2 linked regions of the Oreochromis niloticus genome follow. Each later gene encodes a partner of the first gene's protein in a complex. Links are inferred from orthologs where the notes say so. Each region holds a gene or a part of one and is shown in the gene's direction. Other genes may lie near its edges. The genes, in order: taf8 and taf13.

The links.
Region 2: taf8 (region 1) and taf13 share a complex: the UniProt entries of both Homo sapiens proteins name them as parts of the TFIID basal transcription factor complex. The link is inferred for Oreochromis niloticus from reciprocal best matches to the Homo sapiens genes TAF8 and TAF13.

Annotation. Positions count from the first base shown.
Region 1 is NC_031984.2:7,318,210-7,328,803, reverse strand, and holds the start of taf8 (transcription initiation factor TFIID subunit 8), read left to right. Parts: upstream 1-5,453; 5' UTR 5,454-5,574; coding exon 5,575-5,622; intron 5,623-7,382; coding exon 7,383-7,542; intron 7,543-7,831; coding exon 7,832-7,930; intron 7,931-8,015; coding exon 8,016-8,078; intron 8,079-8,190; coding exon 8,191-8,315; intron 8,316-8,428; coding exon 8,429-8,576; intron 8,577-8,687; coding exon 8,688-8,830; intron 8,831-10,589; coding exon 10,590-10,594. Other genes in the region: camk1gb (calcium/calmodulin-dependent protein kinase IGb), read left to right, coding at 1-303, 391-448; g0s2 (G0/G1 switch protein 2), read left to right, coding at 4,428-4,781. UniProt on the Homo sapiens protein: The TFIID basal transcription factor complex plays a major role in the initiation of RNA polymerase II (Pol II)-dependent transcription.
Region 2 is NC_031984.2:31,662,694-31,672,181, reverse strand, and holds taf13 (transcription initiation factor TFIID subunit 13), read left to right. Parts: upstream 1-6,828; 5' UTR 6,829-6,964; intron 6,965-7,043; 5' UTR 7,044-7,046; coding exon 7,047-7,421; 3' UTR 7,422-7,632; downstream 7,633-9,488. Other genes in the region: slc35h1 (solute carrier family 35 member C2), read right to left, coding at 210-339, 865-1,040, 2,794-2,877, 3,402-3,570, 4,196-4,268, 4,376-4,439, 5,208-5,358, 5,550-5,660. UniProt on the Homo sapiens protein: The TFIID basal transcription factor complex plays a major role in the initiation of RNA polymerase II (Pol II)-dependent transcription.

The DNA of each region.
Region 1 (10,594 bases):
GCTGGCCCACTCAGAGCAGGTCCTGAGGCAGGCCAGCATCCCAGACATCAGGGTCATCGACGTATCCTCCCCAACGAAAAACCGGAAACATCTTGATCCAGACAAGGTTGAGCCCAAGGTGCCAGAGGTCAACGGGAGTGTGCAGGGGACACATCACATGTCCTTGCCCACAAGCCATGTTGAACTAAAGAGCCACTGCCACCCACTGAAGACCAGTCAGAGCGAGTGCAGCACACAACACGCACCTACAATAGCTGAACAGGGAAAGCATGTGTACCACTCAGAGCCTGCCAACCTGAATGGGTTTGTAGCTGTTTTATCTCATATTGTGACCTTTGACCTTTTGAGTTTATATTATGGCTGACTAAAACTTTTCTCTTTTGCTTTTAGATACGGTAAAAAAACCAATAATAGCAAGACCATAACTGGTGTTTGTGCCATCATGTGAAAGCTGCTGAGTTTACATGGAAAAAAAACATTTTACCTGGTAGGTACACTTAAAGCATGTGGATATAACGAACAAATACATGTAATATTCAGATTTATATAATACTTTTTTATTTTTCAACTACAGTTCATCTCCATAGATGAACTCTTTATTTATTGTATTTGGTATTCTTGATTTAAATCTGAAAATCAGGCAGAATAACTCAAAACACCTGAGTGTCTGTGTGGTAACACCCTGGCTGTGACCTGAGGAGCCTAAAGCAAACAATCTAGAGCATGCTGAGTGTATTTTATTTTAAATTCTCAGCTCCATACGGACTTATTTCTCACCCTGAATGTGTTTCTGCCCTCTACAGGTCAGTGTTGCTGTTTTGACCCAGCATACAGCTGGTTTGCGTCAGCAGCTCCCAGGTACTGAGAACAACAAGTGGTTGATTCAAGCGGTGTGGGAGATCCACAGTCTGTGTGGGGCATTTTATTTTGGAGAGAGTGCCTAGGAAGCTTCCCAAAAACCACACCAAAGTACACAAACCACAACGAAACTCACATGCTCGGATGCACGAGTCTCATTTTTAACCAGAACAGTTTTGACAGTATTCAACAGAACTGTGTGATCTAGGAGGGAAAGCGATGGATGAGATGGGCTCAGCTCTAGCCGGGCTTTGCATGACTATCCGTGTCGTTTATGGTGACGATGTTCCTGACCACTGGTTTTTGATGGGGCAGAAGTCAGCTCATCCGAACACTTTGTGTTCATGATTCCATGCTTAAAATAATACACACAATGACGTCAATGACAATTATTGTACTTGATCATGTGTAAAGCACTTTCTATAGCCAGCCTGCATTTGTAAGCACAATAGAATAGAATAAGAAAACCGCATGCTTACTGCATCCAATAAGCCATACTGTTGTAATTTAATATGGTAAAGTTGTCTCATATTTTTGTTACTTTCTTTAAGTTAATTGTTTCATTAATTTATTTTTTTAATTATTTGCTTCTTTTTAAAAAAAATAAAATAAAATAGAGCAGATCAAATTCAAGTTTGAAATAAAAAAAATATATAACAATGTATATTTAAACAAACCTATCATTAACAGTGTAAATGCCACAAGTATATTCATTAAATGCCATAAACCTACTAGAACTTTTACATTCAGCTAAAGTCTATTGTTAAACATCTTTATTCACTTATTGTAAGCGGTTTACTTTGGGCAGTCTGCTGTTTGTCTCAGTATGTGGCTTTGTAATGATGGATTTAACATATATTAATGTTATATATGTATTATGCTGGGATCTCTGTATACTCAAAAATAAAGGATCTGCATTTGTTTTGCTGTGGTTGTTTTACCTTCACTCCTGGGAAACAAATTAATGGTAAACTTTGTAAATTAAATTAAGCTATTGCCAGTACATACACTAGCTAACCAATCACATTTCAGCCGGCAGCTCAATGCATGGTCAAGATGAGCCGCTAAAATACAAAGCAAGCATCAGAATGAGAAAAAAAAAAGGTGATTTGCAGTAAGTTACTTTGAACGTAGCATGGTTGCTTGTGCCAGATGAGCTGGTCTGCATATTTTACAAAGTACTGATCCTTTTTAGCACATTTAGCACCACATTGAATCCTGAAGCTGATGGGCTACAGCAGCAGAAGGCCACACTGGATCCTTGCCAGGTGGGCAACAGGAAACTCAGGGTACAGTTTAAACAGGCTTTGGTCAGACGTGTTTACTTTCTAAATATAGATTTTTTTTTTCTTCTTGTTAATTTCTGCAACTTTCTGCAAACTTGCATGTTATTTAGCATCATCCTAATATAAATACATCATAAACTGGGACTCATTTAACCTGAGCTGGTAACCTCAGTTAATCTAACCAACAAGCCAATTAGCAGGCTGTACTTCTGTACTTCAGCCTTTCCAGCACAGTCAGGATTACAAGGAGCAATGTACTTAGAACAGCAGGTTCCAGACGGAGTAAATTAAGCCAAGTAAGCCAACAGATACAAAACATGTCCTTGTGACCAGGTTTAAATGGCTTTTATTATAAGATGTGAATAGGAGTCAAAAGCTGAGAAATTTATGTTGACTTAAAGGGTATATGCTTTACATTATTATTCAGTTAACCCCGTTTATGAATTTCCTGTATTTGCCAAGCTGGATTCAACAAGAATAATCTAACTGCAAACACTGTGTTACAGGTAAAACACTCAGTTTTAAAATCTCTGAAATAAAAAAGTCACTGTGTGTGTAATTTCTGTAATTATTTTCACATATAAACATTTTAAATACTGTGTATCTAAACTCCTTCTCCCCTTAGCTCCTGTTGAAAGAGTTTTCACATCCACATTTGCCATAAAACTTCCCCCTCAACCACAGCATGGTGACTTGGTGAAGTCCAGAATAGAGACAGACTGTTCATTTCAGGCAGAAGTAACAAAAAAATGGAGCAAAGGTCTCCAAACAGTCTCAACATTTTCCCAGCAGTGGCAAACATAAATGCCCAGAGCTCAAACTGAGTTGCTCAAAGAGGAACATTATCGACTGTGTAATTATTGCGTTATTACCTGCAATATTTTAGGCAACCCTGCAATCCAAAAGAGGACAAACGGGGTGAAAGGTTGTCCCTGGATTAGCTATGAAGAGTGGAATTAGTGTGGATACTTTTTAGCATTTTCTTCTGTATTTTACTCTGACCTGATGTATTAGTAAGAAATTCTTTACATAAAATCTTCACCTCCTTATTCAGTTCAAAATCTCAAAGTACTGAATTAAAAAGTAATGCTTTAATGTAATGTCATGAGTAATCTGTATAACTGCTCTACTTTACTTAGAAAATTATATTAATATGCAATACGACAGTTAAAGACTTATTGTAACGTATTTGGTCACTACCAGCACAGCTAAAAGTCAAACTGGATAAAATGTTAAGCATGATTCATCTGGTGTACAGATGTTAAAGCAACGTGTGGTTGTCATTTTCACTCAGTGATGATGTCTCTGTGACAAAGATCAGACACATTTCCCAACTCGCTACTCTTCTCTCGTGCAGCAGGGAACTGGTTCAAAGGGCAGAGAGTTTGAGACACGTACACACGCACGTACTGTCAGCATTTTGGACAGATTTAGGTCCAGGAGCAGAGCAGCTCAGGACAGCATGTTTTAGGGGATTCTATTGACCCTTATCTTCTAATGAGGCTTATCTATTGCTGTTCAATAGGGGGTATTCCATGTGTAACCAATACTGTTGTCAGACAATATCAATTAACCAATAAATGGGGCTGGCTTTCCACAGCCCTGCATACGCTTATTGGACACTAATGAAGCTCTCCTGATAAAGATCAATATGCATGGCACAAACCCAGGACTCATGTTGTTCAGTGGTCAGTAACATGTTAACTGTCTGAATGTTTACATCATTTATTCATTTATTTTTAACTTTTCTTACACAGAAGGTGTGCCTGTGTGTGCTTGAAGAAGTTAATGAGTACCAACCAATGTTGCAAAGCATTACTTACTGTCAGAACAATATAATGTTTACTGCACGAACTGCACATGCAGAGTTCAGGCAACATGTCACATCACATGCATTTCATCACATACAGGGATTGGATGTGTCTGCCCTTTTACCCAAACAAGTTCTAATCTCCAACAAAACAATTGGAGTACAAGTGGCCTCATGAATATGCATTGTGTCCCCAGTGTGGGCGTTAACCTGGCCCTGCTTGGGTTTAAATATGCAGGCTCTGCCTTTGCCTCTGCCTGCAAAGCCTGATTACTCAGAGCGCACAGAAAAAGAGAATAAGAGAGTTTGCGCGTGTGCTTTGAAGTAAGTATTATTCTCTCTTTTTTGTGGATAGTAGAATTTTTGCATTTTAATTAAATGGATTAGTTGTCAGGAGTAAATCTTTGTACTGTTTACAGAATATCTGGTTACAATTGTTCCTTTTCTTTTAACAGACTCATCGACAACACATTATGGAAAACTTTGGCGAGATCATCCCATTTGCGAAGGAGATGCTGACACAGAGACCCAGCCGGAGCATGCTGAAGATCTACATGCTCGGCTCTACTCTGGCAATGCTTGGTATGGTCGGGGGACTGGTAGAGATGGCTTTCCTGCCCTTTGTGGAGAGAGATACTGAGGAGGATGAACCAGCAGAGCTTATCATCCTGAAGAAGAAGGAGAAGAAGCAGGTGCTGAAGCCACACACTGCCTCTGCTGATAGTGAAGTTGTTGATGTGGTGGATACAGTAATGCCTGAGGAAAAAGCCAAATATCTTTTGACTTCAAGGCGGAGAAGCTCGGCCAACCGCTTACATGCTTCTTAAAGAAACTTTCTCCTCTTCACATAAATGGACACTAGAGATGATGGTAATGTTGGTAAATCAAGTCATTGTGTGGAAATGGTCCCTTCGTGCCCATTCTTTATTTCAAAAATTGGTTAAATGTGCAGTTTGCTCCTGTTGACTGGGTAAAAAATGAGATGAGATACAGTGAAGACTGCGGGTTACAGTAATGTTGGCTGCTGGGCAGCAGATATTTGTGAATGTGATGTGATAGATTTGTTGTAAAAGTGGAATATGTGTGATTAAATTTGTTTTGCACCCTAATAAAAATATATTTTTTTCTCCAAACAATTGTCTCAGACCATGACTTTAATATAATCTGTGGGGTAGGTTACTTCAAAGAGCGGACCTCGTGTTATAATTAGCAAAAAGAGAGAAAATGGAACTAAAAAGATGCAACTGATCTTTTAATCTCAATTTTCTTCATTTAATGCAATAATTTTAGAACTATGACTGAAAAATATATTTTAAAAAGTATCACAAATACCTTTTCCAAGTACTTATTTTGCATTACAAATTACCAAATTAAAAGCCTGCTATATTAATTTTACAGCAGAGGATTTTCACAAATTAGAAGTTGAAGCAGGTGTAGTTTTACAGATGAACACTCGGGGGCGACAGACAAACAACATGTGTGATACGATCGCCTTCCGCTAGAGTGGCGGAAACAACGTCATACAGTCGTGCCGTGTTTACTAACGGCGGCTAAACGGTGTTCGGAGAGATACAAATATAAATCTGGTCAAAACAACGAGGAGGTTTCTAATAACTGCAGATGGCGGATCCTGCGGTGGCGTCGGGAGGCCCTCTGAATGCGGGAGCGGTAAGAAATGTGTTTTTGGGTCACGGAGAGGAGGCGGATGTAGCATGTAGAGGCGGATTCGCGGTGCTTGGCTAACAGTCAGACTGCACTGAAGTCCTAATTCAATTTAACAACTTTAAATAAATATAATTTAGTCCGGTGAAAGCTTGAAATACGTTTTTATAGACTATAAGGTGGGTTAACTTTATCTATGTCAGTGCTTACCCTGTCTGAATAAATGTTTGTGTCCTTAAAGTGACAGGAAGAGGTACGTTTTACATGTTCTTTAGTCTTAACATATGGGCACATCCTCATCTAAATTACAGCTGTGAACAAATAGAGTCTATACCAATATCACAAACACTAAATTTAGGGAGAATGAAGGTTTTAGCAACACTTCTTGTATTTTTCATCGATATTTGGGGTAGACCGACAAACCGTTCGAGCTGTTATAACTTCCATCTGTCTGCTAACTACAAGGGATGGCTATTAATAACATTTTAGACAAGGTCAGTTTATTTATAAAGCACCTTTATTATTAATAATAAAGTGGCACAGCCATTCAGTACAGTTTAATTTTATTTATATAGTGCCAATTCACAGCAACAGCCCCCTCAAGGCGCTCTATATTATAGACAAAAAAACCTACAATAATACAAAGAAATCCAACAGTCAGACCACCCCTAGGCAGCTTTAATGTTTGTCTGTTTTGTTTGGCCTATAAAGTATAAATCGTGCCTATTTGGATCTAAAAATGCTGGCGGAAAAAAAAAAAACGAAAATTCAAAAAAAATGTTTGATCTTTGTTGATATCCCTGACGTTTACATGAGCTAACCATGCCACTAAGTCTGGATTCATGAAAATGTTGAGGACAGTCCAGTTTGTTTGTTTGTTGTTTTTCCCCCCAATAAATACAGCAGCAGATTTTAAAGGTGTTTTCTGTCCACATGGTTGGGGAAGGTTCAGTGAGCATTTGCAGTATGTGTTATCACTTTGACTCAGAACTGTTGCATCAGTCTCCAGTGTAATCAATGGAGTGAGCATTGCAGTTTCAAGCTGCTTTAGTACCTCGGGGATAATGCAGTTTGCTGCAGTGGCAAAAATTAAATCTCTCAATTACACAAATGTATCTTACAGAAACATGTCCACCATCCTAAGCTCACTAAGAGCTGGATGGTGAATTAGAACAATACATTTTAATATTAACATAAAATTAATTATTATAGAATTGATTCAGATAAACAAAATGCCTTTTTAAATCACCCAGAGCCCAAATATTCTCCCACTTTCACCACCAGCACTGGGAATGTTTAATAAGTCTGTTCAGTAAGGACTCTTGAGAAATGTTTGTGAAATGTAGAAAATATGACAATTTTGTAGGTTTAGAGGCTCCTTGCCACTATATTTGTTAGAAGTCACATTTATTTCTAATGTTATGGTAATAGCCCTCATAACCTTAGTGTGCATGCACATTGTTGGCATATTGGTGTGTCCACCAAGCAAAGGGAATAACATACACTGTGTGGTAAATTTGCAAAGCTAGGCTCATTATGCTCTGTTTGTTATACTTCAAATTACAAAAGCTAATGTCCATGTGCCCCTTAGCTGTAAGTCAATTAAAGATTCTGGAACCATGTGTCTGTTTATTTAGCCTTTTAAAGAATCCTTTAGTCCCAAGTGTGTTGTGACTATAAGGAGATATTTTTCTCATTAAGACAACGGCATATCTATATGTATTTCTGTTGTATACCCTTATTCACATTTATTTTATTTTTCTCAGCGTGGAAGTGCTGGTAAAGCAACTTCTAGCCCTGCAGAAAACTACCTCCTGGCCCGCCGTCGAACCCTGCAGGTCGTTGTCAGCGCCCTGTTGACTGAGAGTGGCTTCGAGAGTGCAGAGAAGGCAGCTGTGGAAACCCTAACTGAGATGTTGCAGAGCTGTATGTATGATTTTTAAGTATACACCATCCACTGGGAAAGCTGTAAATCTTTAAGTGCCACTTTTACAATATATATCTGAACACCAGTGCAAGTGCACCTCACTTTATTTAACCTACTTTCTTAAATAAACACTAATGGGAATAATTTTGGTAGAGGTTGGTGAAAAAAAGCTGAGAAACTGACATAACTGAGCCCCTGTAGACTATTTTCAGAGCAGACGTTTCTTGAATTTGCAGTTGGTTGATGATTCATGTTTACAGAACTGATTATTTTTGTCTCTGTTTTTAGATATTACTGAAATAGGTCGATGTGCCAAAGCATACTGTGAACACACAGCCAGGAGCGTCCCGACACTGTCAGACACAGTGGTCACGCTTATTGAAATGGGTAAGACCTCCTATAACACATATGGATTAAACGTTGCTAAGAGAACACAATACTGATTCGATTTATTCTGTTTGTGTCATTAAAGGTTTCAATGTTGATACTTTGCCCATATATGCTAAAAGATCACAAAGGATGGTCATAACTGCCCGTAAGTAGGAACTCAGCTCTCCATTATTAGTATTAAAATGAATGACTTGAGACCTTTTGATCCAGTGGTTTTAGATGTGAAAAATGTTTATTTATTTATTTTTTAATTTCAGCTCCAGTGACAAATGCTCCTGTGACTCCCAAAGCGCTGTCAGCTGGACAGAAGCGCACACATCCAGCCCACATCCCCAGCCACTTCCCAGAATTCCCCGACCCTCACACGTATATCAAAACACCTGTGAGTCAGAACTTTTCCACTTCATTATGGAGATCCCTAGAAAGCTGGATTGTGTATTATAGAAGTACAACTGTACTAAAAAGTAAGCCACTTAAGAGTTTTTCTTCCTGTAGACTTTCAGAGAGCCCGTGTCAGACTACCAAGTGGTGAGAGAGAAGGCAGCAACTCAGAGGAGAGACGTGGAACGAGCACTCACACGCTTCATTGCCAAGACTGGAGAAACTCAAAGCCTATTCAAAGATGACATCACTACCTTCCCATGTGAGTGAATCTCAGTAAGCTGATCTTTATTTAATGCCAGATTATGTCTTGTGATTACTGAATGAAGCATGCTGCATTTTCATGAGTTCTGATTCCTGTGATTGTCGTCAGTAATCGCAGCACGGCCGAGCACCATCCCATATCTCAGTGCCCTCCTGCCCTCAGAGCTGGAACTGCAGGCTCTGGAGGAGACGGACTCCTCTGAGCAGGATGACCAGACTGATGGCGAGAACACAGCAGGAAACGCCATTACTGTAAGTCTCCCTGGCCGGGATCTAGTGTGCCATAAATGTGTATGTATGTATATTATATATACATATATATATATTTATAGATAGATGGATGGATAGATGGATGTATATGTGGTATAAACAGCAAATATAAGAATTGTAAAGCAAATGAATATCTTCTTGGGAGATTTCACAAAATCTTGAATCTTTCTTTTATTAAAATTGTATCACACATTAAAATTTTAAGCAACAGAAAAAAAATTGCTGCTCCTGGCAGGCGTACAGAATCATCTGATCTCTATATTTTTGTGGCTCTTCTCTTACTGTTACTAGAGTGACAGGGAAAGATCTGTTGCAGATTAGCCTGAACAAATTTAAGTGAGAATCTGATTCATTTCATTACTGTGATAACAGAATTTCAGGGTCATTTTTTTCAGTATTAAACTCCATTAGTTGCACAGCGTTATCAGATTTTCAGAGAGAGTCTCAGTACAGATGCTCAAGTATATTAGCAAACATGTGCCAGAAGTTTCCAGAAGAAGTTTCTCAGAAAACCAGTAGATTTTCTTAGGAACTGAAAGCTACTCAAGCCTTCCATAGACTTTAATAATGGCGCTTTTGTGAACATCTATTTGAGCTAATTTCGAAGTAAGAAGAGGCTTTATGAAACTGAAGTAATTTCAACATAGGGGTTTTTATGTCATAGTGCATTTCCATGTTCTGGTTGAATTCTGTTGCCATCAAGACGTCACAAAATTTAAAGTAGTAGTTTTAAAATGGGAGAGTTTTGTTTATGCTGAAAATTTATATTTGACAGTTGATATCATCCTTATATTTACCCTTTAAATGGGACCTGTAATGCTTCTTGTTTATTTTCTACCCTGTCTGTTACAGTGGTGGATGCTCATATTAAAGAAGTTTCAAACAAAGTTTCAAACAAAGATTCAGCACAGGTGATCTGTGAGCCAAGAGCTCAGGCTTTTGGCTCACAGGCTCTTGGCTCTGTATGATGGTGAGAGAGATGTGAGAGTGGATATCCTTAACCGAGCAGCTCTGGCTGTGAGCACAGACGCCTCAGCCATCTGCAGTTTGATTAGGAGCTGCTGCCAAATTTAAGGTGGCTGGATTTTTCTGGGGATTGACTTGCTTGAATTTAGGGGGGGGGCATACAAAGAGTCCAGTAAAAGATTAATAAGGATTATTTTGAATGTTGTGCATAACAGCCCCCCTTTATTGTGAAAATACAGCCAAGGAACAGCTCAGCTTAACAGAGTGACTAGAAATGGGATGAAACAGCTAGCAGCTAAAATATTAAAATAAAGCTAACACACTTCTGAAGCTAGGACACGTGCTTCATTCATTTAATACATACAAAAAAACCAAACAAACAAGTAGTGTTTCATGCTCTAATTACTTATAATTAGTATCCTGGTTACTGCTGGAAATCAAGCTTGCATTACTTTATGAATTCTTTGAAATCAATGTAATTGTGTAAATGACTTTTAGTTTGTTGATAGGCAAATTTCTACTTTTTGATAGGGTATCTTTGTCACAATTGCAATCATTATGTTCAGCTAAGCTAATCACATCTAAAGTGGCATTCATATGTTTGCATGAAACCCGCACCCAGAGGTACATCATAACAGGTTGCATCCAACCCTAACTTAACTCTGATTCAAGTTTTCTATTTACCATGTAATTATAAGCTGGCAAGAAGTTTCCCAGAATACCCTTTAAATATACCCTATCCATTGCTAATATATTTTATGTTTCCATCATTCAGGATGA
Region 2 (9,488 bases), about 24 Mb from region 1:
AACTAGAAATCGGACAACAGACTGTTCGGTGAATAAAGGCACATTCTCACCCAGAAATGTAACTTGAAACAAAAAAATTTACATATTCAAAATTTCTGGATTTTACTAAAAAGGAGCTTACTTATATGCCATTTAAAAAAATGATTGAGTATTTTTATATTTTTAGGATGTAGAGCAGCAAATATGATGAAAACGTAAATAAAACTTACTTTTGGAATAATATGTCTTGAGTCCCACGTGTAATGAAATACCACACAGACACACAGCGAATCCCAGCCAGTTAAGCATACTCATTTTGTCTCCCATCAGAAAAGTGGCTAAAAGCAGAGTACACACTTCCTGCATGAAGTCAACACAAGGAACAAAGGAGAAGACTTCATTAGACAGCTCTGAAAAACCCCAAGTCCTCATGTATATACAGTAACCATCCCTTATTTATTGCATAACATTTTTATAACATATTTACACTTTCACCAAGTAAGTACACTGACAGCAAAAAAAACAAAACAAAAAAACATGTGTAGACGTACTTAGTCAAGAAAGTTGATTTTCATAATAAAGATGTTTTTATATGTTAGATCCAAGCCCTAGTGAACCTTCTGTTCTGTCAGAACGTCCACAAAGATTACACATAACTGCTTTAGTAGCTCACAGTAAGCACCAAAAGAACCGCAACCTCCCATATTAAACTCAGCTATGGCTCTGGTATTACGGACAGACTTTCTTTGGCTTCACCAATTTAATTCAATTCAATTGATATAGCACCAATTCACAACAACAGTCACCTCAAGGCACTTCTAGTGGCAGCCATCCACCAGCTGGAGGTGAAGAAAAAGATGTTGACAACACAAAGTAAGTAATTACCTTAAAGATCCCTGATATGGATAAGGTGAGGCTGGAGGTTCGGGAGACCAGCAGAAACTCAGAGAAGCCCAAACCAAAGGCCAGTGAACCGCCGATGCTTAATGTGAAGAGGGAATACAGGAGAGGCGAGAGCTCCGTCACCCGGAATAACTTCTCTGAGGTGCTGAGGCTCAGCCCTGCAGGCACAGAGGAAAGAATCAGGACAGAGTCTTTTAGAAGTGGCAGCACTCCAGGTAGATCGGCAGTTACGCAGTTACAATAGTTTTCCACAGACTGCTTATAGGGCTTGCCCACTCATGTCTTTTGAAAGTCCAATATCTTGTAGAGATTTTATAAAAGAATTCCTTTTTGTTCTCATAATGAAAGGCATGTGGTGAATCACACTGCCACTTCTGCTTCAATCAGCAGTGCTTTATTTGTAGATTACATCTCTGGTGTGCAATGTTACGTGCTTGACTGTGGCACAAAAGCAGAGGCCCTCCGTCACTGAGCTACATCAGGACTGATGTGCCTTTACAGACCCCACTATGCAGTGTGATGGTCATTTTCCATTTAAGAAACTGATTAAGTGTCAACACGGTGTCTATTCTGACACCCACACCTCATTAACATGTAAATAGGAAATAGTTCACATGTGTAATAGATCAGCAGTAGTTTCTCAGGGGTTCAGCTCAGCTGCAGAAAGTGGAGAATTATCAAAGCCCTGTAGCAGCTGCTTGATTAATGGGCACCCACTCATGTCTTTTGAAAAGTCCAGTATCCCCTCAGTAAGGCTGCCCTTCGTATCGAGCTGAAATCAGTCCCACTCTTTGAACACAGCTCTATTACCACAGTCAGGGCAGATTATTCACATGGACGCCACCTCATGCTCAGAACTGCCAAAAATCATATCATTCAGTTGACTCTGATAAGTCAGCTGAATGATACCAGCTGGCTGAAATACACCTCTGTGATGGAGTGCATTTACAGTACACTGCATCAGTGAAGTGATTTTTCAAAATAAAAAATTCATTCAAAATAATCAAATGTAATGTCTCTTAAGCACAGTGAGAACACTTCTCGTAAATTCCTTTTTATAAATTATAAATAATTTGGGATATCATTTATCTGAAGTGAAGGCAGCTGGACCACACCTCAAACAATCCCCTTCCACTCCAACGTCCACAAATGCATACTTGTCCCACACACTTGTTTGTTCTTGTTCCTGTGCCCAATCCTCTCGCTCTCATGTCATCTCTGATCTGCCAGGCCAGGATGAACCGCGAGGTGAGAGAAGACGAGGCAACAGGAGTTTAACAAAACGCGAGATTCTTGCAGCCTTTAAAGCAGTGTCGGTGAAAAGAACTGTGGCTACATTACTGGCCCAGTTTTTTGCTTTTAATTACATTCACAGCGTGGCACAATGTGACGCATGGATCTCTGCCTTTGTTTACCATGTCATACGTTTTAGGAATTGAGACAGCCTTTAAGATTCTGCACTGCAACTGATGTACAGGTGGGAGTACGGAGGAGAGACTTTACATGGGAGCTCAAAGGAGAGAAATGAGAAGAGCTCGTAGGGTGCTACAGCATATTTGGAATTTCAACACACTGGCTGTTGTGTTGTGCTCAAGTCATAAACCCGAAACCAATCAGGTCTGTGTTCTAAATTTCACTACTTTTTACACGTTGGGTCTTGGGCTTGAGAAACTACTGCTGATCTATTACACATGTGAACTATTTCCTATTTACATGTAAATGAGGTGTGGGTGTCAGAATAGACACCTTGTTGACACTTAATCAGTTTCTTAAATGGAAAATGACCATCACACTGCATAGTGGGGTCTGTAAAGGTTTTCAAAAGACTTGTAATGCCATAATTAGGGGCTACAGAGCTTAATTTAACGCAGCGACAAAACATGAAAGAAAATGAACTTATTCTATACTCACCTTCATTAAACAGGAAGAGGGGAAAGAGCCCAAGGAACATGAGAGGTTGGAGGTGGTACATGGCATCTATTGGGTTTTGAAGGCCTAAAACAGTGCAGCATGAAAAAGATGAAAATAAGAGGGAACTGTGTCCCCGCTGGGAAATCTCAAATCATAGCAGAGTTTTAAATCAGTGCTTTACAAGCCTGGCATATAGTTAAAGTTACTGCTGTTGGGCTTCAATGTGTTTTACTTTGTAAATGCTTATGGATGGATGCTGCTGTAATAAACTCAGAGGAAAGACAGTGGGAAGCAACAACCCAACTTTACCTGCTGTTAATGTTGTGTCAAAACCTGCATTAGAGCCATCACTGGTGGATCTTGTTAACTTTTTGTAGACCATTCAAGGATGACGGCTAGGTTGAAACCACATAACAGGATATTTTGGGTCTCTCTGATAGTTGTTTTCTTTTTTTTGTATTTCACACCAATCCTCTTTGAAATGGTGTGTATCATGTTTTACTGTATACCTGATGAAAGCCACAACTCAAAATTAATTGGTGTAGCTCCAGGTTATAGGCTTTTTAACCTCTTTGGAAGCCCTCACTCCACAGTGACTGAACACTTACCCAGCTCGGCTTTCTGCGTGAGGACCTGAGTGAGGGTCCATCGAATCCCCCCTATGAAGGATGCTAGGAGCACCAGAATAAAGCCTTCCAGGTTAAACTGGGTCGACTCAAAGGTAAACATAAAGAGACCGCAGGAGATCAACAGGACCACCAGGATCAGAAATGGGTTCTGGATTTAAAGGGAGAAAAGACAATGACACAGCAGTTTCAAGTTAAAATTGAACAGAAAAAAGAAGAAGAAAGAAACAGGATGGCAGATAAAAGAAGAACAGACAAAGCACAAACTAGAGGAGAGATTAGACAAGAGGTAAGGATTGCTCATTACTGCTCATGTGATGAAACCCCCATCAAGCTACACAAAACACCACTGTGCTCTGTAACAGGAAGTGATACAAAACTGAAGTGAGAGCTCAAACACCTCATAGTGAGTGACTATTGTGATTTGGTGCTATATAGATAAAGTTGAACTGAATCGAATCTTTAAGCTATGACACCATTAAGAAAAATTGGCATATTTATAACCGATCCATCACCGCTGCATGTGCAGCACTGTTTTCAAATTAGAAATTTCGCATGTTCTGCTACAGCCACAGTGCACTTTGTGAACGTTGCTGGATGCCTGCTTTGTGCAATGCACCACAATCGAGAAAACAGACTAAAAGAATTGCCTCTTGTATCATTTTGCCTGTATGAGAAGCATGCTTAATTCTCCAGTTGTGTCTGCGTGACATTAAAGTGAAGACAAAACTGCACTGTTAGCACTGCTGTCAGCGTCATGTGATCAGTACACTCACCGGCTCCTCCAGTTTAAAGACCAGAGAGAAAAACAGGATAAACAGCACTGCTGAGGACTTGGTCATGGTATACCTTGAATGACACAAAATAAAAGTCGTAGAATATGTAAGGAACAATACAGTGACTGGTTAAGATAAAATACTGAGCTTCTAATAAAAATCTCCAAACCACAAACTTACAGGCTAATGGTGATGAAGAGGAAGCTCCAATTGGAAAGTCCGATATCCAGCGCTGTTGCGATGGCTGCGGGTAAGAAGGACAGAATTTAGAAGTACAGGATGACAGGTTCATTTTAAAACTTAAACACAGTTAAAACCACTCATTTCACTGCATTTAGAGCACAAATACCCACTAAAAAAAAATAAAAAATACATGGGGCGCACCCTGGGGCGCCTCTGTCAGTGCGCCCCAGGGTGGCTGTGGCTACTATGTAGCTTGCCATCACCAGTGTGTGAATGTGTGTGTGAATGGGTGGATGTCTGGATATGTAAAGCGCTTTGGGGTCCTTAGGGACTAGTAAAGCGCTATATAAATACAGGCCATTTACCATTTACCATGTATATAATCAATCCCACTGCCCTTTATTCACATATTAAAATCACCTTGATGTTGTTTTAGTGTATACAGTACAACGGAACAAAATATTAATTACTTTTGATTTAATTACTCTGAATTTTTGCTTTTCTCAGTCTTTGACTCACTTTTTCCTTCTGACTCTTTTGCTGTTCTAACAGGTAAATTTCCTCAGTGTGGGATTATTTCAACTGATCTTATTACAACTTAAGTTTGGGCAGAATTTTAGTTTATACGAGGCAAAACTGGTTTGGAACGATTCATTTAATGCGCTTGCTTTTACATATCTTCATCAGTCTCCTCAGGGTTGGCGTTTTTATTCTCTCCACACAGACTTTAGACGAAGCATTCCGCAGAGCTTAGTCAATCGGTGAACCCAATAAGAGGCGACTGTCCCTTGTCTAAATCACCAGTCTCCCGACTCAAGATAAAACTCACCTGTGGGTGCTACTTTTCTGAGGTACTCTTTCCACCTCAGAGTAACACGAGGTTTCCCTGTCCACCACTGCACAGCCTGTCGTGTCAGAGCTGACAGACAGAAGATGATGGTGAGGTGAACTAAAGTCATGAAGAGGGGGTAATGGAAGCCCTGAGAGAGGGAGAGAGACAGCTGGGGTCATCTAGGATGGCCTAGTCAGTGTAGGTCTCCTTCTCAGGATCCAGGAGACTCCCAAACAAGCAAAGCAGAGCGCCCTCAGGTGCTTATTTTCATTAATCACCTTTAATACAACCAAGCATGTTATAGGAAACTGACATGGCTGTATGAGCTTCTTTACTCACCTTCATTAGCCATTTGTTATAGAATGTGATGCCTATAGAGAAGACATAGTAGAGAAGAACTAATCCAACAGTGCGCAGCCCCCTGCACAGGAACTGGACCGGGCACGCCATACAGGACTGCCAGGACCAGCTGTCCACAACACACAGCTACTGCAGAGGGGCCATCTCCGACCTGAACCCACATCCTCCCCGAACAGCCATACCAGACCTCTTTACAGCAGAAAAGGAACAGAAACACCGCAGAGAAGAAAAACAAGGTTACAGCAGGACTGCGTTTGTGCACATTAATGCCAGTTAGTGGAACAGGCGCTCAGACAGAATTTAAGCGAAACCTATTTGATACAATGTTAGCATAACGGCAACATTCATTTTAGCTCAAATTAAACGTTATCAGCTACTAGCAATCTCTTAACTGCGTCTGCTAGCGGATAAGCAGCTGGTAACAATGTTGTGCTAATCTTAAACACTGTGCGTTAACTAACAGGAACATCAGACAGCCCCAGCAGACGAACTCACCAGCAACAGTCCTCCAAGAGTGACTGAGAGAGGAAGGCTCACTGGATAGCTGCTACGTTTTATAGGTCAAACTGGTTTCTTTGTTAACTTGCCTTATAGTTCATTAGCTAACATTAGCCTGCCATTTAGCATCTATATTAACTTGTTAACATTATCAGGTCAGTAATTAGCTATAATACTCAATCCGGTTGACTGAGATAAGCTTTGAACATCACTTGGCGGGGCAGGAGTCCACAGCAAGATCCACGGGGACGTGTCACTTACTCACGGCAACGTGCACGTGCTGAGCCCTTGCGATAAGGCTCTCAGTGTTTACTTGGAATCTGAACCCTCTGTTCAAGCACCGAGATCCATTTCTTTCCACGTTAGCTGTGAGGTGTTGTTCTTGTTCAGCCACATGAACAATGCTTCTGTTTCCACTCACACCGCCAACTTGTCATCGCCCTTTGTGCATAGTTTGTCTAGGTCTAGGGTTTAGCTAAAGTAAAACCAAATGAAAATGGCGTAGCTTTTTTTACATTCTAAGCAAGCTACGTGTCGGCGATTCCCGCATAAACCAGGCGATATTAAATTAAGTTCGATCTTCCGATACAATCAAACAGATCGCGCTTTAAAGGAAACTCACCGTCAGCTGTGTTGGCTTCTTCACTTCTTCTTCTTCTTTGTGTTTAACGGCGGTTGGCAACCAACGTAAAGGAGCATTACCGCCTCAGCTGTGTTGGCGAATAACACGAGTAAATTTAAACACTGGCGAGAGATGGCCACAAGGGGGAGTATCTGTGATTTCTAGCCCTGTCTGTTTCCTCTACAAACCACCACTTCCTCAGTCAAGGAAACAAAAGCGGAAGTCGGCGCACATAACAAGCTGTTGTTGTGAGACAGTTGTGAACAAGCACAAGGTAAGTTTAATGTTAACGCGTATTTAACAATGAGCAGGTAATGTTGAGGTTTAGAATAACGCTTGCGGGTGTTTTTCAGCAAATGGCGGAGGAGGAGGACGAGCCAGGCTTCGACGAAGAGTTGGAGGACGGCTCCGGCGGGGTGGATGTCGGCTACGGCAAGAGAAAGAGACTCTTCTCCAAGGAGCTCCGGTGCATGATGTACGGATTTGGAGACGACCAGAACCCTTACACGGAGTCTGTGGATATTCTGGAGGATCTGGTGATCGAGTTTATCACGGAAATGACCCACAAGGCCATGTCTATCGGGCGCCAGGGTCGCGTCCAGGTGGAGGACATCGTTTTCCTCATTCGCAAAGATCCCAGGAAGTTTGCTAGAGTCAAAGATCTGCTGACCATGAACGAGGAGCTGAAGAGAGCTCGGAAAGCTTTCGATGAAGCAAATTATGGCTCTTAAAATCACAACGGGACTGTTTGTTATTCCTCCCGTGACCTTTGTTTCTTTAAATTTACTGTACGTGTGCTCGTCAGTTCTTCAGTCTTCAGACTGCATGTTTGTGTCTCGTGTGTGTTTATAGACAGTAAAACAAGAAATTTCAGTGTATATGCTTGAATTCAGACTTTTTGGTTAAGTAAAATAAAGCGACTTGCCAATAGTTTTAAAGTGACCAGGTCCTCATCTTAATTTCTTGTGCGCAAACACCCCGTTATTCAGCATCACAACAAGAAATCTTTGAAATCGGCTTAGAAAAATTAACAGTGAACTCACAAATGTTAACAAATGAGTTTTTCAGTTGTTTAAAAAAAATGACCCAATTTGATGTTTGTGGTTCTTTTAATAGGATTCTAGGAGTGAACAGGGTTCAGCATTCGGAGGGACTTGGGTGTTAAAGAGCTCAACAGTTTAACATTTCTTAGCATACAATTTAAAGGATGGGGCTTTATTTTTGGTTTTTTAGTGTAAATCACTGCATGGACTGCGTTTGTGGTCACAGTATCCACAAATGCAGATGAAACATCAAACAATCACAGAAAAAATTTATTTAATGAAGAAACACTCCCCTTCCTTTCACTTGAACGCATTAACCCTGACAAGCCTGAACTATGAAATCATTGTCAGAAAAATTAATATAATTTGAAACTGGAGTGTTTATTGAGCTTCGTCATTAATTTATTAAAATGAGAAATATCAATTTGCAATGTGAGTTTAAATTTGAATCCCATTTGCAACATCTGGTAGTCTATTGTGGCTTCAGTAAAAGGACTAGATGTTACAATCCCTGATAATGCATTGCTTTAAATGGTGAAAATCTTGAGGGATGGCTGTTATGAGGAAAGGCAGCCCAGAAACCAGCGGCACACATCGTTGTGTGCCTCAACTTTCGGTCTTTTACCCAAGCTAATCTGCCATCTTTTTACTTCCTTGGTTAGGTTTAGGGATTAGAGATCTGATCTAGATTATCATATTAAAATTTGGGACACATGGTCAGTAGTGGACCTTGGATTCATCGGGTGTTTCAGTCATTATCGCTAGACACCCTCATCCAAGAAGGCCCTGTCAGGGTTGATCAGGCCCCGGAGTGTGTCACTGGTTTATGTTAAACTGTTATTTCTTCTTTCTTCTCTTTAGTTTTCTACAGTTTATTTTCTTCTATTTATTTGCTGGAACTTATTTATGTTTTTCAGTGGTGATGCAGAGGTCTTAAAATCTCACAAAACCTATCTTTCAAATATTATCCGATTCTCTTGGCGTTACAGAGTTAAAGAACTCAGGCAAAGTGGAAATCCATGCACGTTAGGTCCTCTGTGGGCATTAGGTTCAAAGACACTGCTGGAAATCGCACGAGGACACAATATACAGTATTTTATAAATCAGACAGCCTTTGCTAATGAGCTCACCAGTAGCTAGAGGTGAAGCCCTTCAATTGTAACTATTGGTGTTGGAGGGAGAAAGCAGACAAGCAGCTGTCCGGTGATCCGAAATTCAGCAGCTCCATTTTATAAGTCACTGGAGCTTATTTCAGTAGGGCAGTGCTCAAGCACTGTGATTTATAACAGCGTGGTTCTGTGGTGAATGTGTGTTTCATAACACTTTTGTTTTAAAGCACAGCATTGTGCTGTGTTACCAATCTGATACGTGAAGAGTGGATCTGCACAAGAATTTAAGCATAATTTTACTTTGAATAAGTAAAAAAAAATTAAGTATTTAACTTAAACCCACAGATTGAATCCTCAAATGTATGTGAAGTATCTAAAGAAAGGTTGTGTAAATGACACAAAGAGGGTTGCTCTTCATGTCCCCCTTCTGGACACGCTGTGGTAATGAAACAAAAATCACAATACAGGAAATTAAGCCACAAACTGCTGAGCAGCTGAATGTCAAGCACGAATGGAAAAACTAACCCAAAAAAGCCCATTGCCTTGTAAAATTATAGCAGCTGGTGTCATCATCTCCCAAACACTCACAGAGGGCTGTTAAACACAGTGGGAAACATGTTCCAGTCCCAACTTTTCAGGAGCAAGT